2 linked regions of the Drosophila melanogaster genome follow. The protein of the gene in region 2 interacts with the protein of the main gene of each other region in a pairwise test. Each region holds a gene or a part of one and is shown on either strand. Other genes may lie near its edges.

What was found. The genes of interacting proteins can lie anywhere in the genome.
Region 1: the proteins of P32 (region 2) and CG12708 interact in a two-hybrid assay, tested with the Drosophila melanogaster proteins (2 studies listed by BioGRID).

Annotation. Positions count from the first base shown.
Region 1 is NC_004354.4:15,672,128-15,679,472, reverse strand, and holds CG12708 (uncharacterized protein), read right to left. Parts: upstream 3,998-7,345; 5' UTR 3,786-3,997; exon of another isoform or gene 3,670-3,785; intron 3,110-3,669; 5' UTR 3,067-3,109; coding exon 1,849-3,066; 3' UTR 1,736-1,848; downstream 1-1,735.
Region 2 is NT_033778.4:17,669,212-17,675,727, forward strand, and holds P32 (P32), read right to left. Parts: upstream 3,430-6,516; 5' UTR 3,324-3,429; coding exon 3,119-3,323; intron 2,999-3,118; coding exon 2,654-2,998; intron 2,596-2,653; coding exon 2,354-2,595; 3' UTR 2,098-2,353; downstream 1-2,097. Other genes in the region: CG30108 (uncharacterized protein), read left to right, coding at 275-421, 476-595; CG30109 (uncharacterized protein), read left to right, coding at 971-1,117, 1,176-1,295; IBIN (induced by infection), read left to right, coding at 1,889-2,014; Sema1b (semaphorin 1b), read right to left, coding at 5,099-5,297, 5,361-5,553, 5,616-6,516.

The DNA of each region.
Region 1 (7,345 bases), on a different chromosome or scaffold from region 2:
TTGTACATTTTCAGATTTTCCCTATCGTTATGGATCTCTGCTTCGACTAACGCTCCACTCATTACTCGTCAACCATCCGAAACCGGAAGATATGTATAAAATGATATGATATGTGGTGGCAAGAATCCCAGCTAGGTACTTACTAGGGGTAAGTATCCGTTTCACTTTCAATCAAAACGAAATTAAAGAAATGCATGTTTAATGAGACGTTGCCGTCCGGAGCGGGAAAACTGGGCGCTGACGAATGAAAACATGGAACAATTCGGAAGCGGTCATTAGCCGGACGGACAAGAACCAGATAACAACAACAACAACCATAATAATAATAATAATAATAATAATAATAATAATGGGCAGGAGACCAGAGCAGCGCATTGTGGAAAACTAAAGAAAAGCGAGAGTCATAAAAAATAAAGTAACTACAACGGCGTGAACCTTCTTCTTCTTCTAACGATTCCTTTTGGGAAATTTTGGGAAAAGTTCAGAGCGCGGACGAGGGTTTGACAAGGGACCTGCCCTGATTTCGGCGGGTTATCCATATGTACATTTGCATGTATATCACGAATATTCCCTGGAGCGGGCTGCTTGACCGCTCGACCTTAGTTCGGCGATCGAAACTTGAGTTCTGGAGTTCGCCGGGTATCACATAATAAAGTATTTTACTTTGTTTTCCCTGTCACATGGCACAATGTACTCTGCACTGATGGTCAACCCATCATCTGCATAAGAAAGTTTCACGCTCTACTGAGCATTTGCCATGGGAAGTGGATGTGAATGTGGATTGGTGGTTCCTTGGCAGACGTGTTAACGCTTTTGGCTTAACCCACTCCTTTCGTCTCAAGGGTTGGACAAAATGTTATGACAGCTCATTTAACGCCGCGTCGCAGAAGTGGATTGCTGACCCATCGATCGCATGGCCTTGGATGGTTGGTGCCTGGCCGGGCTCCTTGGCATCCATCTGACCAGTTGGCTAATGGGCTAATGAGGCTCGCACGGCGGGATGCGATCCTTGGGGAGCGGGAGCTGTGGGAATGGCCTAGGTTCCATCTCAGCTGGAAGCCTAGTTATACAAACCGTTCGCTAACGAGTTATATTTCGTTTTTGGGCTACAAATTTTGTATCTTAATTATGTAAGGATTATCTACGAAACTGGGTTTGCTTCATAACTCATCACTATGATTTTATGATACCTTCAGAGAATAGTTTCCGCTGAAAGCAGTGGTAAATCGCAGTTTCCCGGGTGAAAGTTAGGCAACTTCCTTTTCCAAAGGTCGCTTTGAGCTAATAACACTCGAATGGAGTTCCGAGCAAGTGATACCTGTTCCATTTCCAGGTACTAGACCTTATCGCGTTAGATCGCACATAACTTGGCTGGCTGCCTGCCCATCGAATTCGTGGGCATTTGAAGCGTAAATAATATTTTTTTTCTTGCGACAATTGTCGCACAACCCCTTCCTTTTAGGGCCCTCATTACCGCCAAGTTCTATGTTCCATGTTGCCGAGGAATCCCCTATAGCTCGCTATCGGAGCATTAAAACGCTCATTAACCAGCTCGCTGTGAGAAAGAAGACCACTTGGGCAGACGGATGAGAAGACCCAGACCCTCTGCTCTGGAGGAATTGCTTTCCACGCACCGCTGAGCTTCAAGAGGTGTTTAGCATAAACTGCTGGTGGTTCCTTGTGGTTTCAACCGAATTATGACAGTGTGCCCCTCAGTGAATTTGGTTCTTTTCGTACATTCTGCATTCCAAATGATTTATTCTGGCCAAAAAATTAAAAAAAAAAAAAACGTTCTTAGGGCTATGAAAAAAATGTCTTATGCCTATGGTATAGGAATATCCTTGAGGATTAGCTTTCTTCCACCAGGGAGAAGCTGAGGCGTCTCTTCGTGGCGTCTCTGGCCTGCACTTGCAACCACATGGCATCCAGCTGACAGGCATCCTCCAGCTCCTCGCCACCCAACTCCAGTCCGCGACTCAGCTGGCAGTGCTCCTCCTCCAGCTCGCAGTCGCTGGTGGAATTGTGCCCACTGTCCGGACTGATGTGGCGCATCTTCTGGGCGGGAGCTGCTATGGATCCGGACCTGGCCGCTGCAAGCAGCTTCTGCGCCGACTGCCTGACGCTGGAGGAGATCTTTGTGGTGATCTTTCGCTTGCGCCGCACCACCCGCTGCCTGCGCAGCTGCAGGGAATGCCGCTTGGCATCCTGCGATTCGGATACGGTGGGCACGGGGGAGCGCACCTCCCGCTCCTCGAAGCCCTCCGCTGGCAGGGAATCCCTCCGCGAGGGCGACTTCCAGTACTCGCACAGATCGCTGGCCGGATCGAAGGCGGGGCGGTAGGTGGGCGATGGCGTCTGGGTGGGGCCGTGCCCGTGTCCGTGGCTGCTCCGGAGCACCTGCTGCCTGAGCCTGTGCCGCTGGCGGAGATGCTGCCTGGGCTGGCGGTGCTGATGCTGGTGCTGTTGCTGTCTGGCGTTGGGCAGCACCTTGCGGTTGCTCTCGAGGATGGCATCGATCATGCGCTCCAGGGTCACATCGCCCATCTGGCTGGAACTGAGCGTATTCTGTTCGCCGGTCGGAGGTGCTGGATGCGGATGCGGATGTGGTAGTGGCTTCTGCTCCAGGTAACGCGGCTTCTCGAAGTAGCTGTCCGGGATGCCCATGCCGCGCAGGGCGATCAGGGAGCCAGGAATGATGGCGGCATTGGGCGAGTACTCCGCCTCGAAGGTGGGCAGTGTGCAGGCGAACTTCAGGGGAACAGCAGTTACACCTCCAGTTGCCCCATTAGCGCCACTTGCTCCTCCCGATGGCGGCGTGGCCAGGATGTTGCTGAGGTCCTTGAGCAGTGGTGTGCGCGCATGGAGGCTCAAGGAGCTGGCCGGCAGTGGCGTGGAGGTCAGCTGGTTCTCCTTGCCTGGCGCCACTCCGATCGACTTCCTCTTGAGTTTGCCACGCAGGGCGTGGAACTCGCTGTAGCTGGAGCCGACTGCCTCGCTGCTGGTGGCCATCACCTCATCCCTGGCCAAGTACGAGGGTCGTGGCTGGTTGACGGCCCACTTGAGCATCTTCTTTGTCTGAAGTTTTAGTTTTTCGGTTTTGTAGTGGGTGCTGCAAGGAAAGAGCAAAGGAATCTGGTTAGGAAGGGGGCGGGTATTTCTGGTTCTGGCATTCCAGAACTTGACTTTCTTAAGGAGCAAATAAATAAAGAGGGCAGCGGCAAAGTTGTCGGGCGAGTTTTCGGCAATTTTGGCGCGCTTTTTCCGCGATAAATGTGCATGTAGACAAACATACATATATACATGCATATGTACATATGTATATGGATGTGTATCGATTTGGCGAAATCAGCGAAGCGGCAAAAATGAAATCAAAAACGAAATCAACCACTCCTCTCACGGACAATTAAATGGACGACGGGCAGCCTTTGGTCTGGACCTTAATAATTTAATTGACTCTGAACTTGATATGCTCAATTATTCTTATGAAATCTTAATGAACTTTTAGGTTGCATTCAAATTTGGCTCTTGAGTGGATACCAAAAAACCAAAAATCACAAGTTATCCGAAAAATTGAATTTTTGTGCATTTATAATTGCATTGATCCAGTTATGTTGGGAATTATTTGAAAAGATATTCATAACCATTAATGAATGAATTCATGAATCTTACAGGCACTTAAGTAATTTATTTTAGGTATATCCATTTATTTTTATGAGCCTTTAGATCTCATTGTACATGACTGCATTTTTAGTTTCAGTCATCTTTAGATGTTCACTTGAATTTACCTTTTTCAGTAGTTTATTTTTTTCGGCACTGATATTTATTTCCAACAGCAAAAAAATAAAATAAATGGTTCGCGGATTTATTTTAAGAATTGATTATTTGGTAGTTTGTATATGTAGTGCTTTTTTTTTGCCAAGTGTTGCGTTTCAACCGTCGCGTTTTTCTGGCAAAGATCGACTGCGTGCGTTCCCTTCGCCGGTTGTTGGTTGACTGACTGGCTAGCCGCCTTAACCGGGAGAAAGCAGAAGGCGACGAACGGACATGTTGCTCATGCGCAGAGGGAAGAGAGCGAGAGCGGAGAGATCAGGCAGTTGAACGGCAGGCACGTTCAACCGGCGGCATTGAAAGCGGGTGGTGGGAGACCACTCGTTGTTATAGTAATTAAAGGTATTTCGCATCTGATATCAGTCCACTTGACTTTAATAACTTATGCAAGATACTTTGCAACATTGATAATAATATAAATTATTTAAATAAGTTGTAATATTCGTATTTCTCACTTTTCCCATGATAACAACTATAACTAAAAGCATACCCTTTCAATACCTTTTATCGAATCTGGTATATATATATATATATATATACAATTACCTCTTCTCGTAGACTCGTACTTCCCAAAACTATCTAATATATTTCTATTTATTAGATAATGCGATACAAATTGAAAAGCAGAAGGCTGCGCTTTGATCTACATTAACGTTATCTTGATGTTCAGTTTTTATAACCGTTTACCGATCGATTTACGATCTGGCAACAGCTGTGCGAATTTTCCACGATCGTGAGATTTTTTATTTGGCCACCGAGAAGGATCATGATCAGTTGGCCAAGGATTCCTACGTGCAACAAGAAAGGGACGGCGCTTGTGAAGCGTGTGAGTGGGACGGAGCATAGTTGGACAGCTGTTCTCATCGCCGCTTGCGCCACAAAACATAATTTTCAATTACCTTTCTCGCAGCGTGTGGCTCCTTTCACCTTGGACTCCTCAAGATACCCTGTGTTTTTTTTGGGATCCTGAGAGTATGCTAGACCTGTGATTGTGTGGGTTACAGGAAGTTAGAACAAAACATTGGGTCTTAAAGGATTTTTAGTTTTTCATTTGATATTGAAAAGACTTTCTGTTGTTGTTTAAACAAGTTCATCGGAATAATGATTACAATTATTTAGTTTAATTGATGAAACTGTTTTGCATCATTTGCCAACTTTTTCTAACATAAATATATAAAAGGTTTAAATAATAGGTATCTTATAGTCGTTAGACCCTAGCAAGGCAATTCTTTCCGATTTTTCCTTCCTTCTCTCACGATTTTCGCCAAGAAAAGGACAACACAAACAGGAACTTTGGGCATTGTACAAATTTGGCCCATTGTTTATGGGACATCGCTGTCCTGTGGAAATTGTTGTGGAAAATTGTGCAATTGTTTTGCAATTTATTGGTTAAAGGGCTCCCGGTCCGTCCTGCTCCTACCTTCCCTCACTTTCCCTCCTGCTTTCTCTGCTGATCTCAAATTTATGATATTTTCGCAGCCGCCGATTGTCCGTTTGAGAAAAATAGAATTAAATCTCAACCGTACATCTGCCCAATTCTTCAGTTTTGGAATCTTTACTATTTGCTTTCGCCATATTATTGCTTGCTAAATTTATTTGACAGTTTTTGTGCAAAAACTAAACACAACTTTTTGTTCGCTGAGGAAGTGCCAGGACCTGCTTTAGCATTTCATATGACACTGCAGTTCCGGACCACCAAGTGCTATAGGATACAATTTATTGCAACTGGTGGTGGCACAATTAAATATGCTCAAGTGTTGTGAGTTCATCGAGTTCAAACAATGAGATCGTAAATATATCAGTCCCAAAGGGAATTTCCAAAAATACAAGACATCTTCATAGGTTAAATACCATCATAAGATGACAGAACGTTTTCTTTTTTAATACAGTATTTAATATCCACCTATTTTAAGGAAAAATCATTGCTGCATATATATATATTAGACATATTGAACCAATTTGAGTTCTTTACGACTTTTTCCCACAAACGTTTATTCAAATAAATCTCAAACCTTCGTTTCGCTAAATTGACATTCGGAAGGGGGGCACTACCTTCCCAGACCAAATTGAACTGGCCCTAATTTTCCATACCATTCATATGGATAAAACGTGAATATTCTGGACATGGATCAGCAGCTGAGTGACCAACGATAAATCTCGGGAAAAAAACGAAGCAAATTGAAATAAATCAATAATATTGGGCGGAGATCAAGGAAGATGGCCAGCAGCAGCTGCGTGCCCGAAGATCTGTGATCTTTCCAATAATAATCCGTGCCAGTCCTTCCCGAATCAATGGCAATTTAACGCATTGGTCACTGGCCAAAAAGGCCCAAGGATAATGCCGAAGGGATCGATGAGCGACAGCCAGAGCAGGCTACGAAGAAAAATAAGGAGAGGGTGACAAGGAAGATAAATTAGGGCAGGAGGAGCCCCTTTCCGCTTCTTCATTCCCATCATCCAGTTCCTCCTCCAGCCCAGCCGCTAATAAATTGCCCAACAATTGTGCAATTTTTCATAAGTCTAAGACTTCACGCTCCGATTTGCTACCGTTTTCCAATCGCTTTTCCCAATCAATGGCATTTTCTTACACACGTCGAAAAAATCTAGCTCTGGGTTTTTTCGAATTTGAACAACAATTTCATAAATAAAAGTTTTAGTACTATAGGTATTTTAAAAAGAAGACAAACTTTGGCTGCTAATGGAATCTTTCTGTATAATACATAATATTTGATTTGAAAATGGTTAAAAATCAGTCTTGAATGATATAGTAAATATTCAAACAATTCTTCAATGCCTGTTACTAGAATAATCCAGTTAACTGAAGTTTCCGCATAATCTTAATAAAATATGTGCCCATAAATCTAAACTAATGTATATCCTTTTCCTCTCTGTGCAGGATCCCATTCCGCTGGCCATCGTTGGAGAAACGTGCGGCGGCAAGGACATCTAGATAAAGTGAAAAGTGGGTAGGGAAAAGGTAATCTTGAATCACAAGCCGCACACTGATAGCGCCAGGACAGAGCGGCCGAGTTTTGAGGAAATCCGAGGAATCACACATAGGGACCCACAATGCACAATCCTTGGGCCGGACAGCTGTTCGCTCGGGGATTAGCACGGCTAGGCGAGCTCCTCTGCTCCCTCACCTTCTGCTTCTGCTTTCTCTCATTACTTTCGCCGGCGGGGCGCGCAAAATTATTAAAACCTGGCCCTGAATTATGGGCCATAATTTAGAATTTGTATTTGCTCAGAGCTTCCCTCTGGCTCCTTCGTCCTTCGTCCTTCTTCCTTCGATTTCCACTGCTTTCCCTTTTCTTCCGCTTTCCCACTCGATATGCCTGGCGGGCAATGGCAGGGGGTGGGGTTTGGTATTGGTGTGTCTGTGTGTGTTCACAGGACCCAGATCCTTTGATTGATTTGGGATCGCCGTGAAAAGCTGGCATCCATTGACAGGCAGGCACTTCAAGGACCAGAGGCTCTCGGATCGGCTTATTTGCCCAGGATCATGCGAAATGCCATG
Region 2 (6,516 bases):
AACAACTAATATTAAATTTATATGTACTAACAAGAGTATTATTTTAGTCGGCTTAACACTTTGGCTTTTGAAAATTTAAGAAAACTAAGAATAACATTTGAATTTCGATGACAAGCTTCGTTTTCTGCAAAACTTCGGATATCGATATGCTCTTTTTTTCTCACATCTCTGAAACCTTTTCTTCAGTAGTACCGTTCGACGTACCTTTGTCACATTTTTTCGGAACTCTATAATAGGCATTATAAATTAAAACCAAAATATACCTAGTAAACAAATGAGCAGCGTTGGCGAGGATTGCAACGAGCTGAAGCAGCAGTACGATGCCTGTTTCAACAGCTGGTTTTCTGAACGCTTCCTAAAAGGTCAAATGGATGACTCAGCGTGTGCTCCGATTTTCCGGGTTTATCAGGAATGCGTCAAGGTGAGCTAATCGGCTCCCTAACCACGTATGGTTTGACCAACCTGTAATCCCCAGCGCGCTATTAAGGAGAAGAAGATCGATTTGCAAGAGATAGATCCGATCTTCGAAACCGGGCTTGAGGAGAATAATGCGAATAGATCTGATGCAAAACAGCAGCAGGCGGGCGAAAGCTGACCCCGTAAGCTGCTCCATATAGCCATCCTAATCCTCGCCAGCGTTAATTGGTGGCTGCACGCGCTACAAAATACTTGTAAAGAGAAACATTTCGTAGTACTTTGACTGTTAATAGTATCATCATGAAACATGGACAACTGATTTCGTTATAACCAGAGTGCCTTTATTAAAATAAATTAGATGTTCTTAAAGAATTGAAAATTCAAATTTCGATAGCACGTTCAGTTTCAACGAAACGTACATCGATATGCTGTGTCCCACATCTCTGATAGCTTATCTGTAGTATGACCCTCACACAAACCATTCTCACATTTTTTTCGACTTATTATTCAATAGAGAAATTATAACTGAAACTCAAAGAGCTTCACTCCACAAATGAACAGCATTGGCGAGGATTGCAATGAGCTAAAGAAGCAGTACGACGCCTGCTTCAACAGCTGGTTCTCGGAAGGCTTCCTTAAGGGCCAGACGGATGACTCGGGCTGCGCGCCGATTTTCCGGGTCTATCAGGAGTGCGTCAAGGTAAGCCCAGGTTTCAAGTTTCATCATCCAGCTGGTTGACCCAATCTTTGACCTTTAGCGCGCCATGAGGGAGCAAAAGATTGAGCTGCGGGAGGTCGGATCTGAGTACTGCACCGGCTCGGAGTACGACAATGCGAGTAGTTCCGGCGGAAAGACGCAACCCAAGACAAAAAGTTGACCCGTTACGCAGCTCCAGCATCCTGGCAACGGCATTGAATCCACAGTGGGCCAGAACCCGGGACACAATGACCTCACCGGTAATCAGCGCCGACACCAGAGTGGAGGAACAGCCTAGGTCTACCAAGTACCAGAAGCAGCTTTGGTTTAGTTCCATGACTCGTATCCTTATGTAAATTATTTAGTGAATGTTTTATAAATAAGTTCAAGTAGCGAACTATAAAAAATGTTATATTCAGACAGAATCCGTCTTTGAGTTTCTTAGAAGTATATACAAGCCTATGATTAGGTAATGGTCGCAGTTCTTATTATTGGTCGTATAAAAAAAAGCTTTTTAACGAAATATATAAAATCCATCTTAATGACAAAGTATGACATTACATGGCCTCCACGCTGATAATCCTGCTTATTGTGAAACAATAACACATATAGGTCGTACATTAATGGTAAATCCCATCGCCCAATAAACAGATCGGAGTACTTCCCCAAGAGAAAGGTCACTATTTCAACGATAAGGTGAGGCAATCTCACCTATAAAGAGGAGCATTAAAAGCTGCAGCACCACAATCTAAAGTTAACTTGCCGTTAATCAAGATGCAACTGCTGCCAATCCTCGTGCTCCTCGCTCTCCTCATCTGCGCCGCCTGCAAGAACCACGAGGACTGGGGAGGATACCGACCAAGTGACTACGATCCCAGGCCATATTTCCGGCAGTTCTAAATGATCACGAAACTCAACCCACAGGAAAATCTTTACGAAAAATCGATGCAACCATAGAAAGAAAATAAACAAAAAAAAAAACTAGGGAATTAACGTTGTATTTGTTAAAAACCAAAGCGAAGCTGATGCCGAAAAGGGTGAATTATTGGCAACCGTTTCTATAGTTTTATCTGAAACATGTATGAATGTTTTATGGCTTAAAAACTAAGTTTCACTGTCACAGTTAAACCAAAAACACAACTAATAAAAACTGTTTTAGGTGATGAAACTGCGACAGCAGACAATAGAAACTTAAAAACCTACACAACTTTATGCTTTAAGATTAAGTGGGACGAACATTCACTTGCCACCGGCAGTGAATTTGGAGAGCTTTTCCAGCAGACCAATGTAGGAAGTGTGCTCATGGGCAGTGGCTAGGTCCGACAGTTTTTCGGCAAACTCCTGACTGATGCCCTTCTCCTCCAGCAAGTTGATCAGCAAGTCGTACAAGTAACCGTCAAGCACGTCGCCTGCGACGGCGTAGACCTTATCGTTCCACTCGCCCTCGAAGATGGCCATTTCATCAATGGAGAAGACATCGTCTGAAAGGTAAAACCTGTGTTATCGGTGAATCAAAACGATTTCTGTCAAAGTACTCACTGTACTCGCCCTCCTGAGCTTCGCCTTGAAGGAAGCTGCAGGTAAAGGACAGCGTAGAGTTGCCCTTTATGATGTCCACCTCGAACTGGGGCTTGCTTCTCATTTCACCGAGATCCGGCTTGTCAGCATTGGGGTTGATTTCGGGCTCCTCCTCGCTGTCCACCGTATGGTTCACATTGAAGCTGACCACCACCTTTTCCTTATCCGTCTGCTTGGTGAGCTCCACATCGGCGCCGGTCAGTTTTACGGCGAATCCATCCAGGGTGCTTGGCACCGTCTTGCCCTTTTGAACCTTGCGCTCGGCCACTATCTCCTCGGTGAGGAACTCCACCAGTTCCCGCTCACCTGGATATAAACAAAGCGTTTAATTTTCTGTGTTTTGGTCAACATTTCGTCACCCAACGTTTGAGGTTATGTAACCGGCGGCATGGACCGCCCATGTAAGAATTTGTTGAGTTAACTTACATTTGGTGTGCACGTTGCAGCCGCACGTGCAATTAATGCTGGGCTTGTGGAGATTCAACACGGTTACATGATCGGATCCTCCGGCTGTCACCGGCTTTTTGGTCATGTGCCACAGGCTGCGGGTGAAATCGCGCTTGCCGAGAGATCCGGCACTGGAGCTGGCCAGAGCGGCAAATCGCATGGTTGCTGTCCTTAGGCTGTTCATTTTGTTATATAACCGCGACCTGGGCTTTTTACTTTAATTAAACACTGAAATGTGCAACACGCCAAAAGTGTAGTGCCTGGTGTGACCGTTGAATCTTATTCAGAAAATCACGAGGCTGATGTATTGTAGAGCCATATCAGAAGTTATCGATCATTTTTCGGCGCGAAAGGCTTTATCGTAAACTATTCAAATTTTGAAATTAGCCTTTATTGGAAAAATGATTGATTTCAATAAATATAACCAAACCATATTTGCTGTAAAAATTCAATGTTTCATAGATCCGAACCTATTAAAAGACCACATTGAGTTATGAAAAAAATGACGACTTTATTAGATTTACGAATTGCTTATCGGATGTATACAACAATATACACATTACAAGGACATACACAGTAATAAAAACTAAACACCATGAAGGGTTTTCTCTGGTTCTTGATCCTCCGAGTGGAAGACCCATTCCTACGCAATATTATCATGCATGCAATCAGACTCGTTCGTCATATATATCATTGTTTTTCAACCAAAAGGCATATCATTTCATCTTTCTAAAATTTCAATAAAATCTATCACAATATGAGAAATCATTACATTACGTTTTTTTTTGTAAGATTTAAAAATATTTTATATATAGCTTTTATCGGGATTTTCCATTTTTAAGACTTTCTTATGTTAAGATTTAGACATTAGGCGTACATATACGTATAAAAATATATTAATTACGATGAAAATTGCATTTTACACGTTTTAAAAATAAAATTGCCATTGTACATTGTATTTATGCAACTTCTTTAGTGGGACGGACAACAGCTTAGAAATTAAACATAAAATTATTAAAATGCTGATTTACGTTGATTGCCAACCAAGCTCATTATTTCCATCCAAAGCTTACAAGTTTAGCGTTAAGGCCTAGATTCGACACGATTTTATACTATTTATAAGGCTTGCTGTTGTTGCAGTGTTCATTTATTTTCGCTTTCTTGTGCGTTTTTCCATCTGATGATGTGGGGGCTGCGGTGTCAGTTCTTATCAAACAGCCTCATAGAAGTTTTCTTCGTTTCTTAGCCTAGTTCGTACTTTTAATTACATTCTATGTTCAATTCCTTATAGAGCTTATGTTAGATACAATTTTACGCTTTTGTTAGCCACAAAGCATAGAGCTTTAAAGTCTCTGTCGCATTCTGTTAGTTCTCCACAAAACAAACTCATATAGAATAATTAATCATTCAGTCTAACAAAATACTTGTTGAATATTCGATTGAATTTCGAGAAATAATTGGGGCTGGTCCGCTTCGGGTTCGATTTCGGTATGCATGATATGTGATTAAATTTGTACAGCTCTAATATTTGCACTTAAAGATTATACATTAAGAGTACACATAAGGGGCGACACAATCGGGCTGCGTAGCCAAGAGCCGGCACTCCTATTTTGGACAGCAAAGGTCGACGTCAGGGGAATGCGGAATGCTTCGGGTTAGCTCCAGGCTGCGGCAGCCCGCACACTACGTTGTCAATAAATTTAACTAAATTTTGACAAAGAAACTAAGCTTACGCAAATTTTACATCAAATTAAATTACAATACAAGCTAAGTAAAAAAGACGCAACAGCTCTGCTTCCTATCTTTCGGATGCGTTTCAAACGCATCCGAGACTGTCGTTTACATTATTCGCAAATTGGGTGGGGGGTTACTATAACTAACAGCAACATAAACAACGAAAATATGTTTTAGAGTATAGAAATTCGACTAATTTTGCAGTTGGCTGCCCTCACAAGGCCACTAGATGTAAGTGCGTTTCACTTTTGTCAGCGTTGACGTTTTGCAGGGCAGCTCTTTTTCCAAATGTTCCGTGGAGTTTTTGCACTCATGACTGCGATCCTTTTCTAAATCCAGATTAGGTGTTTTTTGTGTGGTCGTATAGGCATTGGAGCCCATTAACAGGTTGATGTCTTTGCCAGTATTTTGATGTTTAAATTGCCTGTCAAAACCATTTAATTAGAATTGTCCAATATGGATTTGCATCTTCCAAGATAAAACTTACATTGGCTTGCCGAAATGATTGCGGTGACTTTCATCCATTTGGGCCTCCATCAGGCGGCTCTTAGCCTTCACACAGCATATTCCTGCGATTCCACCCACAAGGAAGGTAAAGAAAACGATAGTTGTAAGTAGCATGAAGCTGGGCGTTGAAGCATATTTGATTTCATCTACACTGGCCGTAGACTTTTGGGGATCTGTCAACGAAATGCGAATATTAAACCACAATATTCCTAGGAAAATAAATATTAGTACTAACCGTTCAAATTCGGCATAATATCGTCGGGATCCATGGACGTAAGGGTGATCTTGTTCAAACCAAAGTCATCGCCACCAGTTGGCTGTTGTTCCAAGCTTGGCTGATTGCCCTGCGACGAGCCCACATTGGAGTACAAAAGCTTCTGCTCCTCTGTTGGCGGTGGAGCCATGGTAACAAAGCTTACTGTTTCCGCACCGGGTGCATCTCGGGGAATATGAGGACATAGCAAGGCAGCGGCTTTCTTGGTGCTATTCAAGCTTTGCAAATAAGTCTTTGTTCCGAACTTGTGCTGACTCGTAGCCAGGTTCTTGCATTCGTGTGTCTGTAAGTCCCAGGCGCAAATGGGATCCTGGAGACTTAAGCAGCCCAGACAGTCGACAATGTGAGAGCAGTGGTGCAGGGGCACGCTAACCAAGCTGCCATCGCTAACCACAACCAACGAGTTTTTCGAAGTGGAGATCACCAATTCCCTAATTGGCGTTCCAAGTGGAAGGACCTGCATCTCTGATATAACCACTGTCTTCAGGCGATCAACAGTTGAGTTCGGGTGAGTGCTCAGTATATTGATGAACTTGGTCACCTTGCCGTCATCGGTGCCACTGTATATAACATCGTAGTAAGCTCCACTTAGGGACTTTACCTGCGGATGCACTGCGATCGCAGTAAGTCGGTGGTGCAGATTCACCTTGGTCAGCAGCGGACGACCGTGCACTGCTGGCACAGCCTCCTCCATCAAGGGATGGTTCTTAATGAAATTAACCGCGATGCTGGTCAGAGTTCTAGAGTCCTCAACGCACTGTCCTGGACGTGGTTTCGGCACTTGCTCACGCTCCACTGGCAGCCAATGGGACTGTGAATCTTTCTGCGACTTGAACTCTCCATCAAAGGCGGCCAGTATATC